2 linked regions of the Oreochromis niloticus genome follow. The main gene of each other region encodes a partner of the protein of the gene in region 2 in a complex. Links are inferred from orthologs where the notes say so. Each region holds a gene or a part of one and is shown on either strand. Other genes may lie near its edges.

Evidence for each region. Proteins that work in one complex are often made in the same cells at the same time.
Region 1: the proteins of rnaseh2b (region 2) and rnaseh2c are in contact, whole or in part, in a crystal structure (PDB 3PUF), measured with the Homo sapiens proteins. The link is inferred for Oreochromis niloticus from reciprocal best matches to the Homo sapiens genes RNASEH2B and RNASEH2C. Residues at the interface, in NP_078846.2 of Homo sapiens: Arg14, Gln15, His16, Val17, Phe18, Leu19, Val20, Ser21, Glu22, Leu24, Leu35, Met36, Phe37, Val38, Lys39, Leu52, Glu62, Lys64, Phe66, Glu68, His70, His71, Ser72, Trp73, Phe74, Ile75, Asn76, Gln77, Ser78, Val79; in NP_115569.2 of Homo sapiens: Ile9, His12, Arg13, Val14, His15, Leu16, Ser18, Ala27, Thr28, Leu29, His30, Leu31, Leu32, Pro33, Cys34, Glu35, Val36, Ala37, Val38, Asp39, Gly40, Pro41, Ala42, Pro43, Val44, Gly45, Phe48, Phe63, Val75, Pro77.

The regions. Positions count from the first base shown.
Region 1 is NC_031966.2:20,689,970-20,697,940, reverse strand, and holds the start of rnaseh2c (ribonuclease H2 subunit C), read right to left. Parts: upstream 3,006-7,971; 5' UTR 2,928-3,005; coding exon 2,926-2,927; intron 2,242-2,925; coding exon 2,087-2,241; intron 1,619-2,086; coding exon 1,506-1,618; intron 1,412-1,505; coding exon 1,292-1,411; intron 784-1,291; coding exon 760-783; 3' UTR 1-759. Other genes in the region: seipin, read left to right, coding at 5,824-6,074, 6,151-6,229, 6,578-6,721, 6,832-6,867, 7,419-7,553, 7,704-7,801.
Region 2 is NC_031987.2:21,848,368-21,855,334, reverse strand, and holds the start of rnaseh2b (ribonuclease H2 subunit B), read right to left. Parts: upstream 3,010-6,967; 5' UTR 2,829-3,009; coding exon 2,765-2,828; intron 2,510-2,764; coding exon 2,441-2,509; intron 1-2,440. UniProt on the Homo sapiens protein: Non catalytic subunit of RNase H2, an endonuclease that specifically degrades the RNA of RNA:DNA hybrids. Participates in DNA replication, possibly by mediating the removal of lagging-strand Okazaki fragment RNA primers during DNA replication.

The DNA.
Region 1 (7,971 bases), on a different chromosome or scaffold from region 2:
AGCTAACAGGCTGATTAATTCTCATACCAGTTTTACTTCTGTAATTTGACAGAACAGCATAGAGTCTCAAGTGCTTGAAAAGGAGGCAGCTGGACTTCTTTATGTTCTTCTTGCCTCTCATCCAAGATGCTTCATCAGTTCTGAGACAGCTGATTGACAGTCTTAGTGGGGACTGTATCCTTGGAGGTGGACCTGAGGGTCATTTATGCATTTGCGATGAATAGTTTTCAAGCACTTGAAACTACCATGGCCTGAATGACTGAGAACCACCACAGTACCGAGACACTTGAACACATGCAGTTTTCTGCCTTCTGTTTAAACTTTAAGTTAATGTTAAACACTCTTACATTCTCCACCACCTTAAGTGTATTTGTATGACAGCTGCTGTGTGTCGTTATTACCATACCGTTATCATATCATACTTGCAGTTAATACATATTAGAGGGTTTTATAGTAGCCAGTTTACAGAATCTAAATGTGCCCTTGTGAATAAACAGTGTTGAGTAGAACGTGCCACATGAACATGGTCATTTTTCAGTGAATAAAACATTGCACACTTTGGTCAGTGACTTTTAATTTTCTTTGTTCACTACAAAAAAAAACGTCATTAAAGATATATACAAAGGTTGTGTAACTTATTGCTCTGGAACAGAAACACTTACTGAAAATACTTCTTAAGCCTTCCCATCAGTTATCATGAATAACCAACAAGCAGCACATTTCATATGTAAAATGCTGAGGAGACATCAGGCAGCCTCTTCAGTCTTCTACTGGAGCATGGATCTGTGAAGAGACAAAATATCAGGACAAACCTGCAAATATCTGAAAACATTTCTGTCTGTGTCTTTTGTATTTTCATCAGTTGAATTAAACACGGTTCCTCCACCAAAGAGAATGAGCCTCAACTGAGGTTTTCAGTGCAGTGTAATTTGAGTTTACAAGAAAACATCCAGATTGATTTTCATGAAACCCGGTGAACATGTTCTGAATTGCCACAGAAGGAAATGTAATATAGATCCAGGAAATAACTGGTAATTAACTCAGAATAGCAGCTTCAAGCAACAACTAGCACGACATGCTTAATTTCTTGTAGGATGTGATTAAAGGTGACTGAATGGTATATGACCCTGCTCCAAAATACAGCCAAGGGTATCTCAAGCTTGTTTGGGTCATATTTCACCAAAAAAAATGCAAATTATTTATGTTAAATGTGATAAATATTAATTACTAGGAGACAAAGATTGGTTTGGTCTTGGATTAATGGATCCAAGAGGGAAAAAAAACAACTCACTGCCTCAGCCAAATCAGGCCAATCCATTGCCATCACAATAGTATCGTCTGAATTAGGAGGTGTTTCCAGGTTCCAGTAGGTCATTTTGTCAAATACAGAGGATACTTTCACTGTCCTGTCCTGAAAACACACATAAACACAAGTTACAAAACCCTCATCTACACATCTGATTTTATGAAATAGTGCTTTGACCCACAACTCCAGTGGTGTTTACCTCCTGGTCTGAGCCGGGTTTGTTGATCTCTTTCAGCACCAGCCCCGTGTAGCCCTGTGGACAGCTGATCTTCTGCCCCTTTAACCCACGTCCCCTGAATGACACCGACTTATCTGCAATGTGAAAGGAAAAAACAAAACAAAGCATTGAGGATTCTTGATGTGTGCTGTGTAATGCGTAATTTTCTTTCCTAAAGCACCTACTGATCGCCTCCAGTCTGTCTAAAATGATCCTGTAAGGCTTTAACTCTCATAAGTGTTCGCATACCATCCCACTTTTAAAGTTTTTGAATTGTTTAATTGGTTCTCACTTTTTTTACTATAAAACTAAACTTTCATTACTTACTTAAGTGTTAAACAGCAACTCATTTTAACTAAAAATTCCTGAGAATTATTAAAATCCATTCCACTTTTACCCCCAAAACGAATTAATCATATCAGAAACAGCGAAAAATAGTTTAAAACCAGGATACTGGCAGCTGTTTGCTTTATTTACACATTTAGCGATCTTATATGTCTACATTTTATCTAACCGCTGTGGATTAATCCATATTATCAGATATGAAAAGATTTTGTGTTTACCTTGTTTCTGGTCTTTGGTGGTAGCAGTGAAGTATTGGTTGACCTGTGCTGGCCCATTGTGTTCAATCTCACATGGCATGAGGTGGACTGGAGCTTGCGGTGCCTGTCCCACTGATGATGCACAAAGACGAATAACACTGGAATTACAGGACATCCTGCAGCCAGGAGACAGGAGAAAAAAGAAAGTACATTTTTAGTTTTTAATTTAACCTCAGTCTCTTTTATCAAAGGCAGTTTGTTTACCAGACTAAAAAAAAAAAGGAAAACAAATTGTATGTGTGACAAACTGAGCCACAAAGTTCAGCCTTTAATCTGAATGTTTTTCTGCAATTAAAATAATTTTTCAACTGCAGATGTCACTATAGGTTCACAATAATAGCTTTTTTTGAGCTCTTATGTTTAGCACACCAGTGTACTCAAAAATAAAACAAACAATGAATCATCTGCAATTGATTCAGAACTCATGGTGACTTTAATGTTACTCCACCTGTTTACAGCTTTTTGTGTTGTTCTGCCAGCCTACCTGTCTGACTACCAGTCAACCATAACTGTCTGTCAGACCTTCAGCTATGTAATCCATGCGTCACAGCACAGGATGAAACCTTTTGGTGACCAGCTTTCAGTCTGCCTGAGTATCTGAGAGCAGCCAAAAGTAATACTTATTTTAAAACAATTTTTTTTTTTCTGGCTTTTGGTGATAATACTTATTTGTTGATCTCCATTGTTCATACACAGAATACGACATACTCAAAGTGAGCACATGCATGTTTTCCAAAGAATCCCAGAGAAAAAAAATTAATTCCTATTAAAGACCATACAACATGCTATAAAAGTCTTACATTTATTTGAAAGACATATATCTATACCCTTACGTTTCTGCAGTTTTCCAAACGTGAAACGTTAAACGGGATCTTTTCCGGTAAACAGCAAACACAGCTTCTGATTGGGCAAAACCTTCTTCTTCTACGCTAGAAGTTATTTTGGCGGGTTTTTTCTGCTCAGCCCCAGAATAGCGCCTCCTCCCGGTGAAGCTCGATCACAACGATTTTCTACGGCTTGTAGCTTTTGTGTTTACAATAACACCCTTGAACTGCGATCACACTCACACCTCTAGACATGAGATACTTTGATAAGAGATCTCAATGTTTCATTTAATTATTATTTTAATAGATAGATAGATAGATAGATAGATAGATAGATAGAGATATATATATATGTTAAAATAAGAGACAAAGACAAGACAACACAAAACAGTCTTGAAATGGACTAACAGATAAAGAGGAAGACAGGAGTGTGAGCATGAGAGTGATACAGAGTCTGTTAGAAACATGAATACTAACACTTAACTGAATATCAGAGGCAAAGGAACAAAAGGGGGACCAAGGCATTAAAACAGAAAATACACAGAGGGTGATACAAATAGAAACACTGGGGAGACTATTATCACTACCAGTAATAATGCTATTAAAAAGACATGAAGCAGAACACAAGATAACACAAAACTGAAACAAAAAACCCCTGGGGACGACAACGAAACAAAATAGATCAACAATAAATGATCAGTTCAGCAAACAGTTTGATATGATTATCAGTTTCTGCTGGACATAAAACTAATACACAGTTCAGAATATTAGACCTCATGGAGCGGATTAGATAATGAGTTAGCATTTGTTACACTATGGATTCGAACACTGAATATGGACAAATATGTGAGTTTGTAGGCATTATTTCAAGCAGCATCACTAAATAATCTCACATGTCATAGGACACTTTGGAATGTCTCGTACATTCTGAGTATTTTGATGACGTATGTCGCAGTGTTACTGCAGTCTTGTTCAGTTCTGAGAACTCTGCTACAGTTGGCAGCAGCATCTGTCTTAGTGTGGGATGGACTAAATCCTGTCCAATGTGAGCCCGAGAGCCACTAAGGAGAAGTTTCCTGGGGGAGTTTTGCTCATATTGCATAAAATCTGTGTCAAGCCTCCACTGAGGAGACTTCAGGGAAAGAAGAAGACGTTTCCTAACAGCTCACAATTAGCCAGCACAAGCAAGAGGTGAGTTTTTATAGCAGGACAGATAACTGTTGCAGGCATGTTGCATGGGATCCTTTTTTTTCTTGAATACTTTATCAGGATTCACATGAAGAGAAAGTTTTAACTCCCTTCTTCTTTTATGATTTACAGTGTTGTGTAAAATTCTTGAGCTACCCCTCATTTCTTTATATTTAACTTCCAAGGAGCCAAATGTTCTTTTCTGGAGGTTTTTCAAAGTTTTTCAGTCCAGTCTTTATACCTAACCATTTTCAGAGGAATATTACTTTTTTATTGATCCACTTAACACTGGCATATAAATCATTCAAGCATAAAACACTTTACTTTAAATTGTATTTTTAGACACAACCTACGTAAAAAAAACCAAACACATATTTTGATACCATTTCTTTAGTTAAATCTATAAAAATGTCAAAGATAACAGTTCCATAGACATAAAATAGCATTTTGGGGTTTTTTTGCAACAACAAAGGGATTTTCAAAGAGCTGTTAGCTAAAAGCTTGCCATATCTCGTCATGGTGTGCAGTGTCTCCTTAGAAATTTGAGGAAACTGGACAGGTGGAGGACAAAAGAAGAAATGTCATTCCTAAAAAATAAAACTACAGAGGATCTGAGAGAAAAGCCATTCTTAAGGAACATTGGGAACATGCTGGGGAATGCCAAATTACACAAGAGCTAGACTGAAAAGTGTGTACAGCCATCTGTAAATCACAGTGGAGGCGCTATCATTGTTTGGGCTGCATTTCAGTCAGTGGTTTTGGAGATCTTATCAAAACGGATGAAATTATGAACACAGAAAAATACCATCAGACTTTGATTCACCACTGAATATTATCTGGAAAGAGACTAATTGGCAACGCATAACAATGATCCCAAACACACTGCCAGTGCAGTAAAAGCACACCTGGATAGACAAACACACACACAACTATCAGTGATGGACTGCCTCCCCAGAGCCCGGACATCAACACTGTTGAAGCAGTGTAGGATTGTCTTCACAGAAAATTTCTACAAGCTCTGTGAAAGTTTTATTTGCATTATTTAATGTGTTTCTTTGTATATTTCCAGATGTTTCAGTAAATCATAAGATCTATTTCCCTTTATATCCTTTTATTTAAATATAAACAAATGAGTGGCGGCTCAAGACTTTTGTACTGATTTAGCACTGAAGGTGAAAACTAAACAGCTTAATTTTACAAATATTTCTCGTCTACTGAGGAGTAAACATAAATACCATTACTTCAGCCACATTGATCACAATACACCCCTACTGATGGAAAAATTTGAGTTCTTTTCTTTGTCTTTAGACTCATGTATTACAATCAGTCTGGCAGTTGACTGTTGACACAGTTCGAGTCATCTGATATGAAAGAACTCTGCGTGTGACTGTGATTGGACTCAGCGGTTTTGCAGATCTCGGTAACATGAATGTGAAGGCTTGTGCCGAAACATCATAACATCATCAGCCGCACTGAGGGTCTGGGACTGAATGAAATGCTCAGTGTGTCTGTATTTCAGGAAAATGTGAAGCAGATGACGTCTCAGATAACACTGAAACATTTTCAGACTCACAAATGTGGATCTTAACTTGCTTTAGCTGAGTCCATATGAGTCCTTATTTCCATAAAATAACCTTTATGAATGTGTTTTATTAACCTTCACTGCTTGTTTGGTTTTTAGATTTAATGGAGCGACAAAGCAACTTGCATTCACAAGATGATGCAGAACCATCAGTCCTTATTGGTCGGGCGCTGGTGAAGCTCCAGCACGCTGTATTCATTGCGATGTCACGGGCCCGGCAGAGACTCGTACAGCTCTCAATTGTGTTCTCATTTGTCTTCCTCCTCCTGTGGATCGCTGCATTTCTATACGGGACTTTCTACTACTCTTACATGCCCAAGGCGACTTTTTCTGCACCTGTGAACTACTACTACAGGTGTGTATGTTGAGTCCCATCCAGCTTCTGTTTCTGTGGTCCGTTCTTTCTCATTTATTCATGTTTTAATCTCCAGGACAGACTGTGAATCTCCAGCTTCGTTTTTGTGCTCTTACCCTATGGCCAACATCTCTCTGATCAGAAATAAAAAACATGTAAGTTCATCAGTTTACTCCATGCAGGGGACTTATTAGGCTTTTCTTTATTTTCTTTCGTGTATATAGATGCTAATCCCATAATAAATATGTCCAAAGTCTTCAGAGGAAGAAAGTGGTCCTGAATGGGGAGGGGAGTGGGGAGGAACTAAAAGGGCTTGTTTCAGACAGTGAATTAATTTTAAACAGTGAATCATGCAAAGCCTCACTAGTAGACTCTAAAAATAAAAATATATGGCTGGAAATAAGCATCATTGTTCCCCTATAGACATTCATTCATATTATATATATGTATACATTTATATGCATTCCAAGAATACTGATGTGTTTTTTGTAATGTATATCCAGGTGCTGACATTCGGCCAGCCCTATCGGATGGCTTTGCAGCTGGAGATGCCGGATTCCCCAGCCAATCGGGAGCTGGGGATGTTTATGATTAAAACAACCTGTTTCTCTCAGGATGGAGAGCAAGTGGCCTCCTCTGCTCGCTCTGTAAGCTGCACTCATACTCACTCAGCACCAGCGCATCTACATGCAATCAAATAGTGTACCTTTAACAGCTACTCCAGTGATTCACTGCTGCACTGCTGTGTGTTTCTCAGGGAAAACAACAGCTGTCTGCCTCCAGCTCTCGCTTTGTGAGTACAGTGCTGATGCATGCTAACCCTTTTAATCACACAACCTGCTCAGAGCCAGATCAGAGCTGCTTATGGGAGGTCTTCCACTGTGTCAGGTCATCCCAGTGCTAAGGTTAATGAGATGACAGGACAAAGATGTGACATGACAGCTTAGAAATACATGATGAATATGTGACATCGACCGTTTGATTCAGCACCGGTACTCAAACTCTAAAGCATTAAAAAAAAAAAATTAACAGAAGTAAATTATAAGAGTTTTATTTTAATTGTTTACACATCTCCATAATTTCTAGATGCATGTGTCTAATTTACAAAAAACCCTGGTAAGTTAATCCACAACCACCCTGAACAGCCTATTGGTTCATGGGTGTAGTATAAACTCATGAGCATCTGAGCCTGCATCCGTAATACTTTCTTTAAATTTCATCACTAAAGACTTTTTGCACCGATTTGCACATTTGTAAGAAAGAGCAAAATGAATTCATCCCAGAGTCTGGATAATAATGTGTGCACTGTAAGTGAAAGATATTGTGCTGTGCTGTTGTGGTCAGAGCATACTGCGATACCGCTCAGACCTGCTGAGGACGCTGGGAACGCTGCTGTTCCTCCCGGCCTTTTTGACTGGAGCAGCCGAGCAGAAACAAGTGCTGGAGGTGGAGCTCTTCTCAGACTTCACAGACAACCCAGTGAGTCCTGCATATATAGATGTTAGATAAAAAGGGACTAGGGAGCAATAAGCAGGACAGGGATACAGGGGAACACATGTTAATACGGAAACAGCAGGTCAATATTTAACTGACACCTAATTAACAAGTTTATTTTCCCTCCCTGTTCAGTATGCTCCCTCAGTCACGGCTGTCATCGAGATCATGTCGAGCAAGGTGCAGATATATTCATCTGACCTCTACATTCATGCTCATTTCACTGGCATAAGGTGAGAATTACCCACATAATGCACACATTTGCTTGAAAAAGAAGAACATGTTGTAACGTTTAAACCTCCTCCAGGCCCCTCTGTGTACTCAGATTGCAGGGTTCTAATTACTATTTTAGAAAATTGCTTCGACGCAGAAGGAATCATACCCAGAAGATTACCCTGGTACT
Region 2 (6,967 bases):
GTTGTATAGCTTAGCTTTTCAAACAGTTTTAAAATAAAGATGCTAACAGAACATTCTTTAAATACTAGGTGCACATCCAAGGTGCAACTACATATATATATAAAACTTTAGTCTGACAAAAGCCTACAGGTTGCGGGACAGGAAGACAAGTCTATCCACTGCTTCAGGCTTTAAAGCGGCCCTGTAGCAAGTCACAATATTACCCCCTGTACTAAATACCCTCTCAGAGGGGCTGCTGGTTGCGGGGATGCACAGGTAGCGCTTTGCCAGGCAGCTAACTCTTGGGAAAAGACGCGCTACTCTGTTTTTTGTCAGACTTCAAATAGCCGAAATACCTCCACACTACAGAACTTCTCTGGCCCTTCCTTTCGACAATCTCTCCGGCATTGGAACCGTCATCTGTGTTGTCTTCGGTAACCTGGTCACCCAAGTTCTCGGTTGATTTTTCTGTAGTCGGCACACTCATTTCCTCCATTACCCAGGCCGGCACGGCGGCTGGCTGCTTCCCAAACAAATACACATGTGCGGCTTGGCACTTGTGCTGTACGTAACAAGTCACGTGATGTGACGCTGCGGCTGTGATTGGTTCGGCTCTGCGCTACTTAATTTGGATTGGCTGTTCTTTTTTTTCTTTTTTTTTTTAAGAGAGGAAGAGAGAGAGAGAGATGAGGTCTATCGCAATAGTTTCATTTTTCTATCGAGAAAAAGTTATTTCGCAATACATATCGTTATCGTTCTATCGCCCAGCTCTAGTGCTACATATGACATATAACAGACAATCAACACAGGACTACATAAAGTGCAATGTGCAAAGATTGCAACAATTGCAAACAAAACAAAGACAGTGCAACACCAGAGAGAACAGAATGACACAGACACAACAAGTGCAACAGAAATGTGCAAAAGACTAAGTATTGTGCAAAAATTAACTTGGTGTATGAAGGGGTGTGTGTGTGTGTGTGTGTGTGTGTGTGTGTCAGTCCAGTCACTGAGTGGAAGGGTTGAAACATTTGACAGCATATAGATGGTTTCTCTACCACAAACATGTCTTTAAATCTTGACTTCTACTATAATCTGACTTACTGATTATATATTCAAGTTAAGTCTTACTATTACTTTCATTTTAGAGCCTCAGCAATTGATTATCAATTAAAAATCAATGAACTGCAACAGAATTAAAAAAAAATAAATAAATCACACATTAGAAAACAAAAAGGCATAATCCATAAGTCAAAACCAACAAGTAACACAACAAGTGTGTAAATATAGACATTACCATGCTAAGTGTTCTGGGTTGGCACAGGTTATGATTTAGTGACATCTTGTTGAATTTTAAAGGAATATTTAAATCAAAAGAAGCAAACAGTGGTCAGATTTTTTTTTTTTTACAAAGCTGCTCAGAGCTGATGTTAACGTTTTCTCCTTTGTTAGTTTAACTGCTCTCAAATCTCTTGCAGCAGCAACGTGTTGATCTCAGAAGTCGGGAAAGAGCATGCAGTGAGGCTGGACGTTATGGTTACACACTATGTTCTGTGATGGTAACACACAGTGAGAACAGAAAGAGTTTAAACTACACCAAACATAACAGGATGTCAATCCAGAGCCACCTACACAAAACTTTAATCTACTGATGTACGTTCTGTGATTAGCATTACATTAGAAACACAGGCTGTAAAGCCCATAATCTGCTGTTATCAATACGTTACAGCCTTCTTCTTCTTAGCATTTGTGCAATATCTTGAAAATTTAAAACATCCTGTCTCAGAGTGATGCTGAAAGATTTGTTTATGCATTTACTGGTTCTAGCCTGAACTCCTGTAATTCATTATCAGGTTGTTCTCAAACCTCCCTGAAAACCCTTCATTTGATCCAAAACAAGAGTATTGACAGGGACTAGAAAGAGAGACTTTTATCTCCCCCACATTCCCTTCTCTTCTTTGGCTCCTTGTTTAATTTAGAATCAAACTTTAAATCTTTTTCCTCTCATACAGGGTCTTAAATAATCAAGCCCCATCTTATCCTAAAGACCTCATAGTACTATATCAACCCAACAGAGTCATCACTTTCAGACTGATGATTTACTTGTGGTTCCTAGGGTATTTAAAAGTAGAATGGGAAGCAGAGCCTTCAGGTTTCTGGTCCCTCTTCTGTGGAACTAGCTTCCAGCTTGGATTTAGGAGACAGACACCCTCTCTACTTGTAAGATTAGGTTCAAAACTTGATAAAGCATACAGTCCAGGATGCCTAGACTAATGGGGGCTTCCCATGATGGATGGATGGATCTCAGCTACATAGTTTCTCAGTGTGCCAGTTTCTCTTATTTCCATTACATTTTATATGATAAAAGTTTAATTTCATCTAAAACTTTACTCACTCGATGATACTGACATGAACACCAAGTTTCATTGCTAGACCAAAGTATATAAAGAAACAATCAGACCTGTTGATGGATTCCTTAGTCTCACAAAAACTGGATCACCGTCGTGCTTGTGTGTGTCGATAGCAGAGTCTGCAGACATCAAAACAGATACCACACATGATAAATCACCACTATTTCTCCTTCTTATTCTTCTCATAATAAATATGCCAAGCTTTAATTTATTATTTTAGCATGTAGTTTAAGACCGGAGCATGGCAGCTGCCATAAAAGCTCACAACACCACCAGCAGTTACATCAGTTATTACACCTATCAACGCATAATAACTGCTTGCAAACTACGCAGTAAGCTAGCTTAGTTAGCTCATACTACGCTCTCTAACCCACCTGGAGCGATGACAACCCAGCTGTCATTATCTACGTTTGACGTTCGCTTCTTTTTAGTAGCCATGTTGTATAGTGTGTTAAGCGCGTAAGTTAACTTTTTTTTTTACTTAAAAACAGTGCTGGCCTACGCAAGAGCGTGCTTACTTTCTGAGTGAAAGCTCAGAAAAGGCGCCTCTCTGCGTTCACTTCCGGTTTGTGTCACACGGGACAAAACATTGCATTGTTTATCCGCAGTGGGCTTATTTTCTGTCCCTTTTTGGGGGAAAGTCTGGTCGTTAAAAAAATTAATGGCTGCCGTGGTGTCAAGAAAAGTTCAAAACAGTGAAACGTAGACTTTTAATTGAACCTTTTACACACCTGCTTTTGTAGTAGTGGTACGTTCCGCGGTGACGTCAACCAGCATGTAAATTCGCGGTAGAGCCGCTAGAGGTCGCCCAACAACTTTTATTAGAATTCCTGTAATAAGATGATATTTGTCTTCCACAGTTTACCTACCAGTTACTTACCTGACGGGCTGTTTCTGAAATTCTCCAGTTTTGAGCCTCTGCTCTCAGGTGCAAGATGTTTGGTGGCCAGTCTGTCCTTTGGCACACTGGCACGTAACAGATTGGGCGATCCATCTGTCCTTCAATAAGAGGAAGGCATCTCTCACGCTCTCTCAGGATATGACAGTGTGTGTCCCAGTTGGTTTTCAGTGAGTCACTTGTTTTGTTTTGATTCTCTGTTTTTTTACACTGTTTGTGAGCATCCTCAGATGGAGATGTGTAGGATGCTAGTGTGTGTTTTCAACCCTCTTATTAGATAACAATAGCTGCGTCATCGATTTGTTTAACTGTTCAGGGGTCCCTGTGATATGTTTATGTAGGGTTTTTTTTTTTTAGCTGTTGATTTCCCTGTCTTCTAAAGACACCCACAGCACAGCCCATTAACAGGTTTTTAATTAGCTTGTTTTGGTAATGAGGAAGGGAGGGATTTGTGTGCTGGGTGACTGAGCTTTTAAAACATCACCGCTCGGCGTCCCTGTGGGAGCAGCATGATGTAGGGGAAAACTTGAGTCTCCACATGGTAACCTATGGGTTTATGTTTTTCCCTGCTTATGCATTTTCGTGCCACCTCTTTGGGCATTCTCTGCTCTTTTGTGTCGTTTTCCTTTTTTGGTCCATTTAAAAATAATGTTGCCTCACGGGCCCATTTGCCCAGATTTGAGCAACACATGCTCTAAAACCCAGTCTCAGCTCCTCCTTGAAATCAGTGAGATTTATGTTGCTGTAGTCTGTGGCAAAGAGAGCGTGGGTGAGATATTGTCTGTGAATTACTTGTTTTATGGGCCCCGGGAGTATCATACACAACAGTCTGTGCAGCTAAACAGAATATTCCATGAAAGCTTTCTTTCATTTTGGGCTGCTTGAGGGAATGTCTGTGTTTCTGACAGCCAGGCAGAACAACAGCGGCCTTTCTGATACTCTGGACCATAGACGACCCCAGAGAGCCGAGTCCTCTGTCACCAGCATGCAGACGAGAACAAAGCGGGGTCTAAATTTAGGCCTCTATATGGCTTTAGACCCAAATTACGAGACCCCACTATCCTCTCCCAAACCCAGCTCCGCAATCCTTATCAATCATGCATCCAACAAAGGGAATTTCAACACACCAAAAGCCGTGTCTGTTCTTTATGTCTCCCCACCTCAAGCGCTACTTCCTCCTCCTCTGTGTAATTCACTTTCAAGCTTGCTATGTCTTCAAAATAATATGATTCCAATAAACTTCGCAGTAGAGGTAGGAGTTTATTGGAGCTAGCAGGCTGTAGATAGTTGGTCACACACTGCTGAGCACATTGAACAGCCTGTGGTCCTAGCTATCGCCGTGGCCTCATTTGGTGGTCCAATGCAGGGCGGCTGGTTACAGCTTACATCGACTCAGCCTCCAGCTTTCATCTCAGCGCCATGTCACCATGTGCTGCACATCACAGAGAGCTTTTTATTCTTTTTTCTTTTTTGGTTTTTTACTCTTTTCATCATCTGTCTGAAGCAGTTATAGAGAGAAAAGAGCCCATTTTAAGAATGTACATATTCACTACAGTGCATTTTTGTCTGTCATGGCTGCCAAGTGAGGTAAGTTATAAATAGCAAGAGAGCGTCACTTAGGGTGTCACTTTTTCTGTACGTAGGCTGTGCCGTTATTTCATGCAGCTGTAACCACTTTGAATCCCCCACCCCCCCATCCTGCCGATCAACACTCAATTTTCAGCTCAGAGATGTAATGTGCACATTGACACACTCTTAACAGACATGCCATGCACACACATGGAAACAGATGTGGGGAGAATTCCCTCTGCAGCACAAGCCTTTGAGTCATCATCTGGGATTCCCTTCCTCTCACTTCCAAATATGGGTGGGATTGTGAGAGAGCGCGAGGAAGAATGTGGAAGGCAGTGGAACCCCCTCGTGATGTCAGAGCTGTGGAACAGTGAGCCTCACGCTGCCTGGAAATTCACCGGAAGGAATGTCGGGAATGTAAGAATCACCGAAATGCTATTCTCTGCTACATCTTAGTAAAACCTGACTTGTAGTAGACATGTCTCGTTTTTACTCCCACACAAACACACACACACTCACATAATGTTGTTGGCCAGTCCGCTCTCTGGAGAGACGTTCTTTCCCGTAAAGTCTTATTCCTCTTCCCCCTACTTGTTTCACAAGATGTGACTCCTTATTCCCAGCATCATTTGCTCTGTGTGAGGCCTCTGGATGAAAGTGGGTTTTTCCTTCTCCCTGTGTGAGAACAAAGTGATGGCTTGAACACTGACTGCTGAGTGCTGTGTGATCTGGAAAGACACTCACATAATAATCACATCCCATGTCATTCATTTGGCATGCAGCTTTTGAACATTTGGTTGTCTCTGAAACTGACAAAAACTGGGGGGGAAAAGGCACCAAATTAGAATGAATCAAAGATTGTTTTCATGATTTAAATAAAGAAATTAGGCACCTGGATAAATTACACTCCTACATCTACTGCACCTTCAAATCTGTGAAATTCAGATTTTCAGAAATTCAGATTAAGTGCAGGAACATCCATTGAGAGTGACAAGTGGACCAGTTCTTATTAAAACGTCTGACATTCTGACAAGAACAAATGAGCAGTGTTTTTTTTTTTTTTAAGTGATAACAGCACAATCAGCCAAGGAGTAGCTTTTTTGATGCAGAAAAGATGTCTTCAAGAAGCCCAACATTTCACCAAGGGATCTGCAACTGAGTAAAGTCAAAGTAAACGAGTCTAAAGTCAGCAAGAGTCTGCATCAATTTGACCTGCATGGAAGGAGTGCCGGAACAGGAACAGACCAGGCCCTTTGGAAAAGCGTGGTCTGGATGGACAAATCAAAGATAGAGCTATCTGGCTAGAGTAACAGTAGACATGTGTGGGACAGCTATTCGTGCATGGTGGTAATGTTATGGTTTGGGGTTGCTTCACTGCCTCAGGGACTGGGCATCTTGCCTCACGTTCCTTCTCTGGTTGCTGCAATATTTTACACCTACGCTGTAATTTCTTAAGTTGATGGAGAGCTAAATTAGGTAGTAAGACTTGATGCGACATGATTTTGCTCAGATGGGTTATAGGCAGACTCCAGCGAGACTAAAGTCTGACTTAGCGAGAAAAGAATTTACCGAAGAAATTAAAACAACTATAATAATAATAATAATAGCAATAGTTTTTGAAATGATATGGCAATGATTTAAAATGGGCTTATACATAACCCCCCCCCACCCTCACACCACCATCCCCAAACATCTTGAAACTGCAGGAATTTAACATGGACTAGTGACCAAATACTAAATCAAGCAGATGTCAGAGAGCGGTGGGCACAACGCCAACAGAAAAAGTCTTTTCTGTGAAAGAGGAGGGGATGCTAACGTGTAAGAGGTTACTTTTTACTTACTTTTTCTACAGAATAATGTTACAGCTGTGGAATTTGTGTAATAAATTGTTATAAAAAGCTTATTTTTCATTGTGGTGTTTATTGTATCAGTGAGGATCAAATATTTGAGAGTGTGTTTGGCTAAATAAACTCACTGTCTTCTTCATTAGGTATACCTGTTCAATTGCTTGTTAAATATCTAACAAGCCAATCACGTTTAAGCATGTAGACATGTCCAGGACGACCTGTTGAAGTTAAAACTGAGCATCAAGATGAGGAAGAAAGGT